Notamacropus eugenii: one gene and its partner. The protein of the gene in region 1 interacts with the protein of each later gene in a pairwise test. Links are inferred from orthologs where the notes say so. Each region holds a gene or a part of one and is shown on either strand. Other genes may lie near its edges.

Region 1 (7,552 bases):
TGTCTTTTGTACCTAATCCATTCTGCTGATCCAACATTCTGTTTCTTGACCAGTACCAGGTTGTTTTGATGATTACCACTTCAATATGTCATATTATTAATGTGATCATTTTATTAATAGTTTTCCTTATGTTGAACCACTTCAGTGAACTACATTGCTGGTATAAACCCAGCCTAGTCATAGTTTATGATCTTTCTAGTCCAGTGTAGGAAGCCAGAAGTTCTGTACCAGGCCCTGTCATTAAACAGATCCTATATTTCCTCCTCTCTGGGTCTTTGCTGCTTTTGAAAGAACTGGGTGGGCTGGCGATCCTCTATCTTTTACCAGCAGTGAGGACGTGTGGGCCTGTTAGTTTCTCCTGCCTTCACTCAGAGTGACCTGATAGTGCTTTGTTCTGAGAACCCAGGTTCTCCTCTGTTCTCTTTCAGAACTTCCTCTCATGAGGCTGAAGACCTTATGCAAACTGGACTCTGTCTAGGCTGCCTGAGAACAGTGCCTTGTGGTTTTCTGACTCAGACACTCCTCTCTAGGCTGTTTACTCCACTCACCTCATCTTTGGTTCCTTGTTTAGATCCATCATGTCATGGCTCCATCTCTTCCCTCAGAACTCAAGGCTCTCTGACTGGCATTTTGAGGCCACAAAGACCAGTCTCTTCCCCAGTTGAGAAATTGTCAAAATATATGAAATTTTTCCGATGAAAAAATTAAAGCTACCTACAGTCATATGAAAAAATGCTCTAAATCACTGCTGATTAGAGAAATTCACATTACAACAACTCTGAGGTACCACATCATACCTATCAGATTGGCTAACATGACAAAACAGGAAAATTATAAATGTTGGAGAAGATGTGGGAAAATTAGAACGCTAATGCATTGTTGGTGTAGTTGTGAACTGCTCCACCCATTCTGGAGAACAATTTGGAACTATTGCCTAAAGGGCTACGAAACTGAATATCCTTTGACCCAGCAATGTGCCACTTCTTTGCCTGGGATCAGAAAAATGGGATCTACATCCACATGTACAAAACTATTTATAGTAGGTCTTTTTGTGGTGGCCAAAAATTGGAAATTGAGGGGATGTCCATCTATTGGGGAATGGCTGAACAAGTTGTGATATATGAAGGTAATGGAATACTATGTTCCATAAGAAATGATGAGCAGGCAGACTTCAGAAAAACCTGGATTTGAATGAGCCGATGCTGAGTGAAGAGCAGAACAAGAGAATGCTGTACACAGTAACAGCCACGTTGTGCAATGATTGACTGATAGATTTAGCTCTTCTCAGCTATGCAACGATCTGAGACGACTCCAAAAGATTCATGACGGAAAATGCCCTCCACATCCAGAGAAAGAAGTGTGGCATCTGAATGCACATGGAAGCTCACTATTTTCTCTTTATGGGGTTGTTTTTTTCTCTTTCTCAAGGCTTTTGTTCTGATTCTTTCAAAACAAGACTGATGTGGAAATATGTTTAACATGATCATAGATGTATAGCTTGTATCAGATGGCATGCCATCTTGAGGAGGAGGGAGTGAAAGGGGGAGGAATATTTAGAGCTCAAAATCTTATAAAAGGGAATGTTGAAAATACTATAAATAAATCTGTTTAACAAAAAAAGACCAGTCTAGTTCCCTGACTACTTTATGACTGCTAACGGAGAGCTGGAGTTGAAGTCACAGATGTGTGCTTGCACAGATTCTAGGTCCTTGGAGGATCCTGGAGATGATAGAATTGGAACAACCTTTCCCCAGCCCTATTTACAGATGAGGAAACTGATGCCTAGAGAACGGTATTTGCTCAGAGACAGAGGGTAGCTGTGTCTCAGGGTTAAGGTTTGTAACCTGCCTCACCACCTCCAAGTCTGATGCTCTTTCCACTTCACACTGTTAATGTACCAGTATCCTTTCAGGTCCGAGTGTATGACCCGGCCTCCCCACAGCGGCGGCCAGTGCTGGAAACCACCTATGGAGAGTATCCCCTGATGGCAATGACCCTTACTCCAGGGGGCAAGTGAGTGATGGGGGCAGGGATGTTTGTGGGCTCTGGGGATGAAGGAGATTTTGAAAACCAGCTCATGTCGATCCCTGCCTGCCCTCTGGTTTCTTTCCCCAGCTCTGTGGTGGTGGGGAACACCCATGGGCAGCTAGCAGAAATTGACCTTCGGCAAGGTGAGTTGGGGGGTACGGCCTGGGGGGCAGTCTGGGTCATAGGAGAGGCTGGGCAGCAGTAGCTTCTTGGCCCTTCCTGGTCTTCCCCAGGGCGCCTGGTGTGCTGCTTAAAGGGTCTGGCAGGCAGTGTTCGGGGTCTGCAGTGCCATCCCACTCAGCCCATTCTTGCCTCCTGTGGGCTGGACCGAGTTCTGCGGATACATCGACTTCGAGAACCTCGAGGACTGGAGCACAAGGTAACTCCACCCCCACCCCACCCCCACCCCCCTGGACTTCTCTTCAGCCCCTTCTGCCAAGTGCCCTAACTGTGCTGCTCATCCACACTTTCTCAGGCTTCTGGGGTTGGGGAGGAAGACCAGGAGCCCCTCCCCGCTTCTCAATCTCACCCCCTTAACTGTCTCCTTTAGGTTTACCTCAAGTCCCGACTGAACTGCCTCCTCTTGTCAGGAAGGGACAACTGGGAGGTGAGAACCACATCATGTCTACTGGGTGCCAGGGGTGCCAGTGTTAAACATGGTGGCGCAGGGGCTTAGCTGAGGACCTGCCTCAGGTGCTAAGGGGAGAAAGAGGGAGGTTGTCTTTGTGTACAGATCAGTGGGAGACAAGGCTGCTGGTGTGGAGGGAGCAGTGGCCCTGGACCTGGGTCCTCTCCTTCCTCAAACCCTACCCCCCACTTTGTGCCCCTCTGACCTTGGTAAAGGAGAAGCCACTCCAGTGCACTGGGCTCAGAGTCCAGAACCAGACACTGATTAGCCAGGACTCTGGCCATGTCACTTCCCTTCTGTTTGCCTCAGTTTCCTTAGCTGTAAAATGGGGCTGACACTGTGATCCTCCCTAGGTTGTGAGGATCAGATGAGAGTCACATATGCACATAGAGGCAGTGCAGTGCCTGGCACAGAGGAGTTGCTTAACATGGGTTCCCTTCCTTTAATTTCCCCGTGCCTCAGTTTCCTCAGTTGTAAAATGAGGGCATTAGACTAGAAGGTTTCTGAGTTCCCTTCCAACTCTAAGCTACGATCTTGAGAGACATAAGCTGTCATATGAAACCAGAGCGGGGTCGGCCTGATCAGCTCATCCCGGAGGAAATGGAGACCCCCTAAATGGGGAGACTGATCAGGTCCAGGCCTCCCCTACAGTAAGGGTGGCTGCTCTGGGCAGTGAATGGGGAGGAGGAGGGGGAGGGCACTGGGGAAATTGGAAAGGCCTGCCCTGGATCTCAGTGCTTCTGGGCAGTCTCCCCATAGACCTTCCCTTTCGCTCACCAGGATGAGCCCAGAGATCCTGTCCCAGTCCCCTCCGAAGAAACCGAGACTGATGAGTTGTGGGATTCGTTGGAGCCCGTGACCGCAGGGGCCAAGAGGAAACGGCAGCCTGTGGGGAAGAAGCAGCAACCGGCGTTGGGGGGCCCCCCACCTCTGCCCCCCCTTTGTAAATAAAGAAGTCACCCCCTTCTGTGACCCTGCCTCCTCCTTGCGAGAGCCCGGCCCGGGACCCTGCGGCGGCAGCCCGCTTGGGGGGCGGGGGTGGGGAGGGCTCTGATGTCACAAAAGCTCGGGCCTCCGGCCAGAGCGATGGCTGCCCGGCCTCCAGGTCGGCGGAGGGGACATGGGCTGTGCCAGGTCCAAGAGCAGGAGTCACGATGACGTGTGCCCCGGGGAAGAAATGGAAGGTAGGGCGTGGGGGGGCGGCTGCCCCGGGCTGGGGGGGCTGGCCGAGGCCCGGAACGCCCCGAGGTGCAGACGGGCAGCGCGGCTCCCTCCCCGCCCCGCAGGACCGGCCAGCCGCTACGAGGGGTCCCACAAGTCCAACGACAGCCTGATCATCACGGTGCTCTGGCGGAGGCTGTCCATGTTCAGCCGGCGGGGCTCCACGCGCCAGCAGCAGCCCGCGGTGAGGACCGCGTCCGGAGCGAAGTCGGGCTCCGCCGGGCGGACCCCGGAGGCCCCCGAGCCGCAGCAGTTCGAGGAGCTCACGTCGCCCGATCTGGGCCGAGACCCGGAGCCCCGATGACGCCGGCGGAGCCCCGCCCCGCCCCGCCCCGCCCCCCGGAGAAGAGAATAAAAGTAGTGACCTGGAGTCGGGAGGTGGAGCCTGCCTCGGGTCTGCCTGGGGGAGAGGGCGCGGGGCCTCAGTTTCCCCTAAGCTGAAAGGGGAGGAGCCGCGAATCTGCGCGGCGAGCCCTTTAAGGTTCTTCGGGAGGCTGTGGCGTAACCCAAGGGGCGTGGCGCCGTAGGTTTCCATGGAGGAGGGAGGAGGCGGGACTTGGGGGAGGGGATTAAGCCGGCTGGTGGGCGTGGCATGCTGGGAGCCTGGGTCGCTGTCGGGGGAGGGGCGTCGCCAAGGAGTCTCCCGGGCGAGTGGGCGTGACCGTCACTGTTGATGCGGGGGCGTGGCCTCCGCCGCCGGAGGGGGGCGTGTCGGCGCGCTGCCGTCATTTTGGGGCGGGGCCACGCCTAGGTGACGTGTCAACCTCTGGTCTCTGGTCCCGTTTCTCTGGCTCGTCCCCGGGGAAGAAACAGTACCGGCCCGGGTGGCGGAGGTGGCGGCAGCAGGCAGCGACGCGGAGGTAGGAGACGACCCGGACGAGCCTGGGGAAGACGCTGGGGCCGAGGGCGGCCGGCTCTCGGTGGGGCGGGGATGGGGGGGACGACGACCGACCGGGGAGACCGGGGACTTCTGCCGGTCCAGCCGCTGGTGAGCGATGCCTCCCCTACCCAATCAGAGCGCCGCCTTCCGTGAAGGATAGCGGCAGCAGCCAATCGTTGCCCAAAGCCGCGGAGGGGGCGGGGTTTAGTCTGGGGCGGGACTTCCGATGTCAGATAAACATTTTGGAGGGTACCCCTGACCAGCATCCTGTCTCCTGGGAGCCCCAGAACGGAGACCCCTCTTCCCTCTCCACCCCCTGAGCCTTCCTCCGGCTCTCTTTCAGCCCTTCCCCCATCCTTCCTCCCGCCCCCTTTCTCCTCCTGCCCCTCTGGTCTCTTCGCCCTCTTCCTTCATTGCCCCCATCTCTCCCCCTCCCTTACTCCTCCCCATTTTCCTTAATCTCTGCCCCTCCCCCTCCTCCCCCATTCCCCCCACCGCTCTCCCCTCCTCCCCCATTCCCCCCACCGCTCTCCCCTCCTCCCCCATTCCCCCCCACCGCTCTCCCCTCCTCCCCCATTCCCCCCCACCGCTCTCCCCTCCTCCCCCATTCCCCCCCATCGCTCTCCCCTCCTCCCCCATTCCCCCCATCGCTCTCCCCTCCTCCCCCATTCCCCCCCACCGCTCTCCCCTCCTCCCCCATTCCCCCCCATCGCTCTCCCCTCCTCCCCCATTCCCCCCCACCGCTCTCCCCTCCTCCCCCATTCCCCCCACCGCTCTCCCCTCCTCCCCCATTCCCCCCACCGCTCTCCCCTCCTCCCCCATTCCCCCCACCGCTCTCCCCTCCTCCCCCATTCCCCCCACCGCTCTCCCCTCCTCCCCCATTCCCCCCCATCGCTCTCCCCTCCTCCCCCATTCCCCCCCACCGCTCTCCCCTCCTCCCCCATTCCCCCCCACCGCTCTCCCCTCCTCCCCCATTCCCCCCCACCGCTCTCCCCTCCTCCCCCATTCCCCCCCATCGCTCTCCCCTCCTCCCCCATTCCCCCCATCGCTCTCCCCCTCCTCCCCCATTCCCCCCCATCGCTCTCCCCTCCTCCCCCATTCCCCCCCATCGCTCTCCCCTCCTCCCCCATTCCCCCCCACCGCTCTCCCCTCCTCCCCCATTCCCCCCCATCGCTCTCCCCTCCTCCCCCATTCCCCCCCATCGCTCTCCCCTCCTCCCCCATTCCCCCCCATCGCTCTCCCCTCCTCCCCCATTCCCCCCCATCGCTCTCCCCTCCTCCCCCATTCCCCCCACCGCTCTCCCCTCCTCCCCCATTCTCCCCATCGCTTTCCCCCTCCTTTTCTCCTTCAGCCCTCCCTCATTCTTTCTCTTTTCTCTCCCCCTTCCTTTCCCACCTCGCTTCATCCCTTTTCTCATTTCTTCCTTCTTGCTCTTCTCTCCTAACCCCTCCCCCATTCCCTCTCTTACTTCTCTCCCCCTCGTTCCATTCTCTTTTCCTCTCAGTTCCTTTTTGTCCTCCCTTCTTTCCCCCTTTTTACTTTTCTCTCTGGAGCCCCCCATTCCTTCTCCCTTGTCTTTCCCTTCTTCCCCTTTTGCCCTCCAAGGTGACAAGTATATAGGAACTGGACCTGGAGGTGGAAGGGAACTTGCAGTTAAAATGTGATTTTAGACACTCCTTAACTGGGTGACTCTGGCCCAGTGACTTCAGTTTCCTCCTCTGTAAAATAAAGATAATAGGAGCCCTGGTTCCCTCTCAAATGAGACATCTCAGAAGAGCTTTTAGCAGTGTCAGCCACATAATTGGCATGTAATAAATGCTCATTTCCTTTCTCCCCCTCCCCATTCTCTCCCTCCTCCTTCCTTTCCCTTCTCCCCCTCCCCATTCTCTCCCTCCTTCCTTTCCCTTCTCCCCCTCCCCATTCTCTCCTTCCTCCATCCTTTCCCTTCTCCCCCTCCCCATCCTCTCCTTCCTCCTTCCTTTCCCTTCTCCCCCTCCCCATCCTCTCCTTCCTCCTTCCTTTCCCTTCTCCCCCTCCCCATCCTCTCCTTCCTCCTTCCTTTCCCTTCTCCCCCTCCCCATCCTCTCCTTCCTCCTTCTTTCCCTTCTCCCCATTTACTTTTCTCTTCCTTTTCCTTCCTTCCTTTTCTCTGTTGTTCTCTCTTTGATTCTTACCCCCAGCACTCCTCTCTCCCCTCTGCATTTCTTCCTTTGCTTTTGCTTTCTTATTTCTGTGTTCACTTCCTTATCTTTATCTCTTCTTTCCTCAGATTTCTCCTCCCATTCTCCCTTTGGCATGTACAGCACAGACGCCTTGAACTTGGAGTGAGAGCCCCTGTGTTCAGAGGGGCCATCTGTGTGACCCGGGCAAGTCCCTTACCCTCTCTGGGCCTCAGTTGCCTCATCTGTAAAGGAAAGGGATTCGAGTCTCTTCCACTTCCTGGATCTGTGCTCCCTTTGCCTGACCCTTTCTTTGAATCCCCCCTTTTCCATCCTCTCCACCCTCGTTATTCTTTGTCCCATTTCATCATGCTATGCTTTCACCCCTTTTCTGGGGCTAGTTGGAGGGAGTGTGGGGAGGGACGAGAGGAGGAACGGAAAACCTGTCAAAGACCCGGACTTGGCTGCAGTCCATCCATCCCCTGTTCTTGTCCTGACACCTCTGTTACTGTATGATCTGATGATCCTAGGTCAAGTCTCAGCCTCCATTTCCCTGTCTGTAAAAGGAGACTCTTGAACCCTTGGACAGTGCGTCCTTGCCAGAGTTCTTGTGAGCTTCTGAGCACTCTAGAATGG
Region 2 (7,007 bases), about 10 Mb from region 1:
TATTATGTTGAATTCAACAAGCATTTAAGCAGCAACCTATACAATTTGCAATGTCCTGTGTTAGTCCTCTATTTGTCTGTGTACTGCCTTGCCCTAAAGTTTATCCTAGTGAACTATTTTTGGGTAGCCCTCCCCCACCCCACCTTCCTACCCCAGGAAAGGACAGATGGGCTGTATTGTAATTGCAGGAGACTCTAGAACAATAGATTTTGAGCTGAAAGGGACTTCTGAGGCCACAGGTCTAACTCCCTCCATCCCTTATTTGAGTTAAGGAAACTGAAACCCAGGGCAGTTAAATGACTTTTCCAAGGGCACATGGGTGCTAAGTTTTAGAGGTAAGATTCCAATCCAAATGCACTGATTTAAAGGCCAGTGTTCTTTTCCCTGTACCAGAAGGTCAATCTGAAAGCCTGAATCATAGTCAAACTGAGACTTGTTCTAGACCTTAGCTTAAAAAGGCCAAGGTCTCCCATTGCATCCTGGGCCATCTCCAGTCATCCTGATCTATATCTGACCACTGAAATGAGGCTGGAGGCACAGTCCTCCTTCACTTAAATCTAATTCACTTGCATGTCATGATATCACCTTCCTGATACCATGATTCTCTTTGAGAGCAAAGGACAAATGTAGCAGAACCAAAGAATGACCCTGGAGGAAATTTAGCTTTGATTTAGCCTGAACCCACTATTCTAAAGAGGTGGGAAACTGGGGCCAAGGGAGAGAAGAAGCTGTTACACATGCTAGACGTTGTTCTAAACACAATTATTTTACAAATATTTTCTCATTTGGTTCTGCCAACAGCCCTTCAAGGTGGGTGCCATTCCCACTTTTCAGTTGAGGAAATCAAGGCACAGAGTAAGTGATTTGCCCAGGGTCACACAGTTAGTGTGTGAGGATGATTTGAATTCATGTCTTCCTGACTCCAGGCTCAGCTCTCTATCCTAGGTAACAACAACTGGGCCAGGACTTGTTTGCCTAAAGTCACATGACTTGTAGGACTGTGCCAGGATCTCAGATCACTTGACTGAGTTTTAGGCTTTTCCCCCCCAGTTTTCTACCATCTTCAATGAGATAATAAGTTGTAACTTTTATATCCACAATACTTTACAATTTACTAAGTACTTTGCACACACTATCTCCTTTGATTTGTGCTAGGATTAGCCCCATTTAATAGGTCAGAAAACATGATCAGTGAGGTTGTGACTGGCCCAAGGTCACACAGCAAGGAAGTGTCTGAGGAAAGATTCAAACCCAGGTCCTCTAGACTCCGAGTCCAGCTCTTTTTCTATTGTGCCACAAATTACGTAAAGTTCTTTGAAAACCTAAAAGTATTATCTAAATGTCAGTTACGATGATTACTCCACTATACTACCTATTTCATAAATTGTCAGATAGGCTGGTGAACAGGCAACATCTGGTAGAATGTGCATGAAAATACTTCCCCTTTAATGAGCAATGATAGTCGAGCTGGCCAGAGGCCTCAGGTGAGCAGAGCAGCCTCGGATGATGGAATAAAGTCAAGTCAAGCAAGTATTTATTGTTTCCTATGTACCACACACTGTGCCAAGGACTGGGAAACCAAATATGGATAGAAAGAAAGACAACGTCTGCCCTGAAGGACCTACCATTCAAAGTGGGGAAATAACACATGAAGGGAAGCTGAAACATGAGGGGGTGGGGCTGGCCTGCTAGAAGTGAGCACAATATGGCAAGGAATGGAGACATGGCTGACTTGAGCATCCTCCTTGAAATGGGACTTTGGGGAGAAACCAGCCAGTCAGAGGGAGAAGCCAGAGGGCAGAGTATACTTCCCAAGTGAGAATCTAGGGGGTGAAGTGAAACTTCTAGGGTGAAGAGGAATAGTCTGAAAATGCATTGCAGATCATAAAGACCAAAAACTGCAAGTTCAAAGTCCTTAGAGATTATCTAATCTAACTTCTTCATTTTACAGATGAGTAAACTGAGGCCCAGACAAGTGATTTGTCTGAGGTCACAATGATATAGCTGAGCCAAAATTTAACCAGAACCAGAACCAGTGGTCTTTCTGTTACAACTTAGTGCAGCCAAAGGGAAATAGAACATTCCTCAGTGACCTTTCTAATTTTTCTGCTGTAGGGAATTGGTAACAAGGCAAAGATTAGGACTAAGACAGTATCCAGACAGGAGAAAAAGCCTCTGGGAGAAGGCAGCAGAGAATAACCAACAATAGCTAGCTCTTTAATGAAGGAGGAGAGCTTACTTTTAATCCAATGCTTTTAGAAATGTTGGCAGAGTGGAAAGAGCTTGGGAATGGGAGCCAGTTAGCCCCCTGAGAATGTGCTTCTACCACCAACTTGCTAGGGTGATCCTTGGTAAGTCATTTTTATCTCCTTGGACCTTAGTTTTGGCAAGTATAAAAGAAGGGACTCGGATGAGCAGAGAGGATCTTTGAAATTTCTTTACACTTCAAAGCATTCTGATTCTGTGACTCATGCATCTATTCCAGCAGGTGCCCATTGATGTTGACCTTCTACCAGGAAGAGAAGTTAGGGCCAGTTTAGCTGGTGTGTTTGACATATTTGCTGTTCTCCAGTTCTGTTAGCTCTTCCACTTCCTGGAGACCACTCTTCTCTCTTCACCAGTCCTTTACCATCCTTTTCTGATTTACTTCCAACCCCATGGGGTTCTGCTTTCTCCTACCCTCTAAAATTTTCTTTCTTCCCCTGGGGACTCTCGCTACCTTCTTTCCAATTCTCTAATATCCTTTTCAGCTTGTCCTCCACTCCCCCGACATTTCCAGCTCACCTAGGGCCAGCAGACCTTTCCAGCCTTACTGTATATTATTTCCTTTCCCATGCTGTATGGTCAAGCCAAATTGGACAGAATACATCATCTCTGATAGGCAGCCCCTATTCCTGGAATGGTCCCCTCCCCCATTTTTTGTTTTTGCCTTTGGCTCTAAAAATCCATGGAAGTTCAGTTCAAGAAGTATTTCATTCTTGAGAGAGGGGGTGGAGAACCTGTGACCTCAAGTCCCCAGGTGGCTCTCTAGGTCCTCAAGTCTGCCACACTTGAGGACCTAGAGGGCCACAATGGGCCTCAAGGCCACAGGTTCCTCACTTCTGCCAGGCCCTTCCCTGAGACAGATGCCAGTGCCTCCCTTCCTCCAAATTGCTTTGGCATTCACTTATATGTGTACATATTTTTCCCCATATAAACTTGTTGAGGGCAGGGACTGGTTGCTTTTTTGTCTTTGCACCAGCACGGTGCCTAGGTATCTGGCAGAAATGCTTCTCCGGTTGAATAATAGCCCCAGAATTAGGGTTAGGGTCAGAGCTGACGCATGGAGGACCCCAGTTTGAATGCATTAGCTGTGAAGTCACGGCAAGTCTCCTCACCTCAGGGGGCCTCAGTGGGCCTCAGTGTCCACGCCCGTGGACCTCAAAGATCACTCTGCTCTACACTCCACTGCTGCCTTCTCCCAACCTCCGATGACGTTTCAGATTCCTTCTTCGTCTCCCGGGAGACCTTGGCTGCGGAGGAGGAGGAGAATGTTGAGGCTATGGGAATGAGAAGAGAAGAGGAGGAAGGAGAGAAGGAGGAAAAGGAGGAAGAGGAGCGCGGGGCGGGGGGAGGTGGGGACGGGGGGTGGGAGTGGGGAAGCCTGTGGGCCGCGGCTGGCTCTTTAAGGCCTCTGAGCAGTGGGCGGTGCCCAGGTAGAAGGGGCGGGGCCCCGCCAGCCTCCGCCCTTCCTAGAGTGTCCGGGAGGATTAGTCCGGCTGCAGTCCTGCGCCCGCCTGGCCGGCCGGGGATCAGGCTCCGAGGCTCGGGGGCGGATTGAGACAGCACTGTCGGGCTGGGGCCGGAGAGGTGGGGAGCGGGCTGTCAGTCCTCAGCGGGACTGCGACGCTCCTCTCGAGGCGCGGCTTCACCCTTCTCCTCTTCCTTCACCTGCGGCCAAGCTCGGGCGGCCACTTCCTGCCGCTCCCCTGGGCCGTGCTCACCTGGGCCGTGCTCCCCTGAACGGCGCTCACCTAGCAGTGCTCCTTTGGGCGGAGCTCCACTGCCTGCCAGCGCCAGGGAGGGGGCTCCCGGGAGGCTCCCCTGGCCAAGATGAAGGACCGGCTGGAGCAGCTGAAGGCTGTGAGTGCCGTTGCCCCAAGGGGTGCACCCGGGAGGAGGAGAAGGTGGAGGTGGAGGGCAGTCCCCTTTCTTTGGGGGGGGGGGGAGTGGGAGGGCCAGGCACCACAGCACAGGAGGCTGTGTACGTGCTAGAGGGGTGGGAGGTTGCCGTTCCCCTTCTCCAGTCGTCTGATCCCCTCTCCCCGGGTGCTGCGGGCTCCCCTCCCACCCTGTGTCCTGTGCCAGCTGATTCATGCCAGAGAAGCTGCTACTTCCCCGACCGTCCCTGCCCCACACCCCTTTCCGTCTGTCCAGCTTCTCTGAAACTCTGAATGGGTGAATGGTTGCATCCCAACCCCTGGCTGGCAGAGGGTAGAGGGCGGTGGGGCTACGTCTTCCTGGGGGAGAACAAAGAGGTCATTCAGGTCACTCCTTCTCTCTGTTTTCTCCCTTGGGCGCTCTTGACTTTCTCCTCCAGGCACTCTTCTTTTCCTCCAGCCTCTCCCATGAAGCAGCTGACGCCTCCTTCAACTTAAAAAAAAGTCCTGTCTGGCTAGCCGCTTGGGCTCTGCTCCTCGCTATCTCCTCTGGTTATTGATTCCCTCCTTGAGTTTCTGTTGTCCAAGATTTAGTTTTCTTTCTCCTCCCTAGCCTTGGCCAAGTCCTTCATTGCCCTTTGACCTGAACTTATTGTAGGGACTCAAATGAAACCAAAGTGCCAGGTTTCCTCAAGGTTCGCCTGAGGAGCCTAGAAGGACAAAAACAAGGGCCAGGGTTTGTCGTGGGACTTTGTGGGGAATCCTGGTGGGGACGTGGTCGGAAGGTCCCCTCTGTTCCCAGGGGCCTGTAGGCATAGAATGTCTGTTACCTCCCTTTAGTTAGGACTGGACACATTCCAAGTCATCTGAGGGGTCTCTTCAGTTGTTTTAACAACTCCAGGGAGAAGCAAGAAAGATCCTATCTGTTCAATTGTTTCCAACAAGAAATTGCAAATTAACAATGCTCCAAGTGTTTATTAAATGCCTGTGCTAGGTGATGGAGAGACAAAGATAGCCTGAAGCAGTTCCTACCCTCAAGGAGCTTACTTTCAATTGGGGTCAAGAATATCTACCCGTATAAGTATATTTTACAAATTGGGGCTAGGACTGGACCTGTGATTTCACCTATATAGGGAACTGCCAGGTGAGGAAGCTTCTCTACCAAAGTAGGTTGCCACATATCATCTTATGGAATTGCCCATGGTGCTGGGTCACATGACCAGCATACAAGTGAAATCCAGGACTTGTATTCAGGTCTTTTGGGTGCCAGGACTGGAGCTCTAACCATGACACCATACTGCTTCTCATAAAGGTTCCATACAAAATGCATGCTAAATAAATTGAATGAAGTTAAAGGGAGAGTATTAGCAGCTAGTAGGATCAGGAAAGGCTTGGAGAAGGCAGTGGGGAGCACAGTCTTGACTGAAGCATGGGATTCCATGAGATGGGTGAGGAGGTTAGGTATGAGATAGACCAAGGTGAAGGGTAATGAGGTGTGGCAATAGAGTGCCAGGCTTGGACCCAGGAGGACTCATCTCCTTGAATTTAACTCTGATCTCAGATACTTAGTAGCAATGTGACCCTGGGCAAGTCACTGCACCCTGTTGCCTCAGTTTCCTTATCTGTAAAATGTACTGGAGAAGGAAATGGCAACCACTCCAGTATCTTTGCCAAGGAATCTCCAAATGGGGTCACGAGGAGTCTGACACTATTGAAATGACTGAACAACAAAGGTGTGTATGTGAATGTATGTGTGTGTGTGTGTGTGTGTGTGTGTGTCTGTGTCTGTGTGAGAGAGAGAGAGATACACACACATGTGGGAAAAGACCTGGTTGTAACATTAAGGGACCTAAGTGATCACAGAAGATCATTTCTATGATCACAGGCATAGAGTCAGAGGGTCCTTCCATCTAGCCCCTTCATTTTAATGAGGACGCAGGGAGGGAAAATTACTTGTCCAAGGTCATATAGGTAGTAAGTAGAAGAGTCAGAGTTCCACCCCCTGTCTTTTGACTCTCGATTCAGCCTCTCTCCATGGTACTTGCTTTCATGGGACCCAAAGAGCTGCTCTAGAGAGGCTTGGGTTGGGGGGAATGGAAGATTTGTGGGAGAAGGGAGCTCTAGGTTCTAGGCTCAGCTCTGCTGTCAACTAACTTTGAGTTAAAGCAGCCCACTTCTCTTGGTCCCTTTCAGCTTTGAATATTAAGAGAAAGCAAGGCATAGTGGATGGAGAGCAAACCTTGGGGGAACAGAGATCTGAATTCAAATCCAGACTCTGATATACTAGTTATGTGATCTCAGTATCCCCAGGTTAATTCTCTTAAGACTATAAATTACAGAGGAGTTGTGCATCTGCATTGGAGGAGGGCGCTCTCACACAGGAAGTGACCGCATCCATGATATCAGAAGTCTGAACCATTCCCACTGCCAAAAAGAAAAGAAAAATTACACATAACTCTGAGTGAGACAACAGTTCAGAGAGAATTACATAAACCCAGCTCCTTTTCCTGGAAGCTTCATTGGTTCCAGGCATGGTGGTAAACATCAGGGCCTTCACAATTAGCATCCTGCCCCTACTCCAGGACTTAGGTTCTTTCTGAAGTCACAGTCACAAGGCCTGAGTCTTCCCTTATCTTTGATACTGGGTCCCTGAGTAAGTCATCATAGCCACAGACTCTCAGGCCAGACTTCTGGAGTACCTGTAGTCAGTAAGTGAAATGTAGGGATAGAATGTCTTATTCACCATGAATACCCAGATGTGCCAGAAAGGGACCTGGCCTGGCTTGGGGAAGTTATTTCTTACTGATTTCTTTTTGAGTATTTCTAGATCATTTAACACTAGGCCATTTGCATAACCTTTCTCAGCCT

The links.
Region 2: the proteins of STX5 (region 1) and STX3 interact in binary tests that used the Homo sapiens proteins (3 or more experiments, as listed by UniProt). The link is inferred for Notamacropus eugenii from reciprocal best matches to the Homo sapiens genes STX5 and STX3.

The regions. Positions count from the first base shown.
Region 1 is NC_092873.1:15,894,023-15,901,574, reverse strand, and holds the start of STX5 (syntaxin-5), read left to right. Parts: upstream 1-4,546; 5' UTR 4,547-4,737; exon of another isoform or gene 4,738-4,865; intron 4,866-7,026; exon of another isoform or gene 7,027-7,123; intron 7,124-7,552. Other genes in the region: TEX54 (testis-expressed protein 54), read left to right, coding at 3,777-3,840, 3,943-4,181. UniProt on the Homo sapiens protein: Mediates endoplasmic reticulum to Golgi transport.
Region 2 is NC_092873.1:5,641,086-5,648,092, forward strand, and holds the start of STX3 (syntaxin-3), read left to right. Parts: upstream 1-3,987; 5' UTR 3,988-4,092; coding exon 4,093-4,122; intron 4,123-7,007. UniProt on the Homo sapiens protein: Potentially involved in docking of synaptic vesicles at presynaptic active zones. Apical receptor involved in membrane fusion of apical vesicles.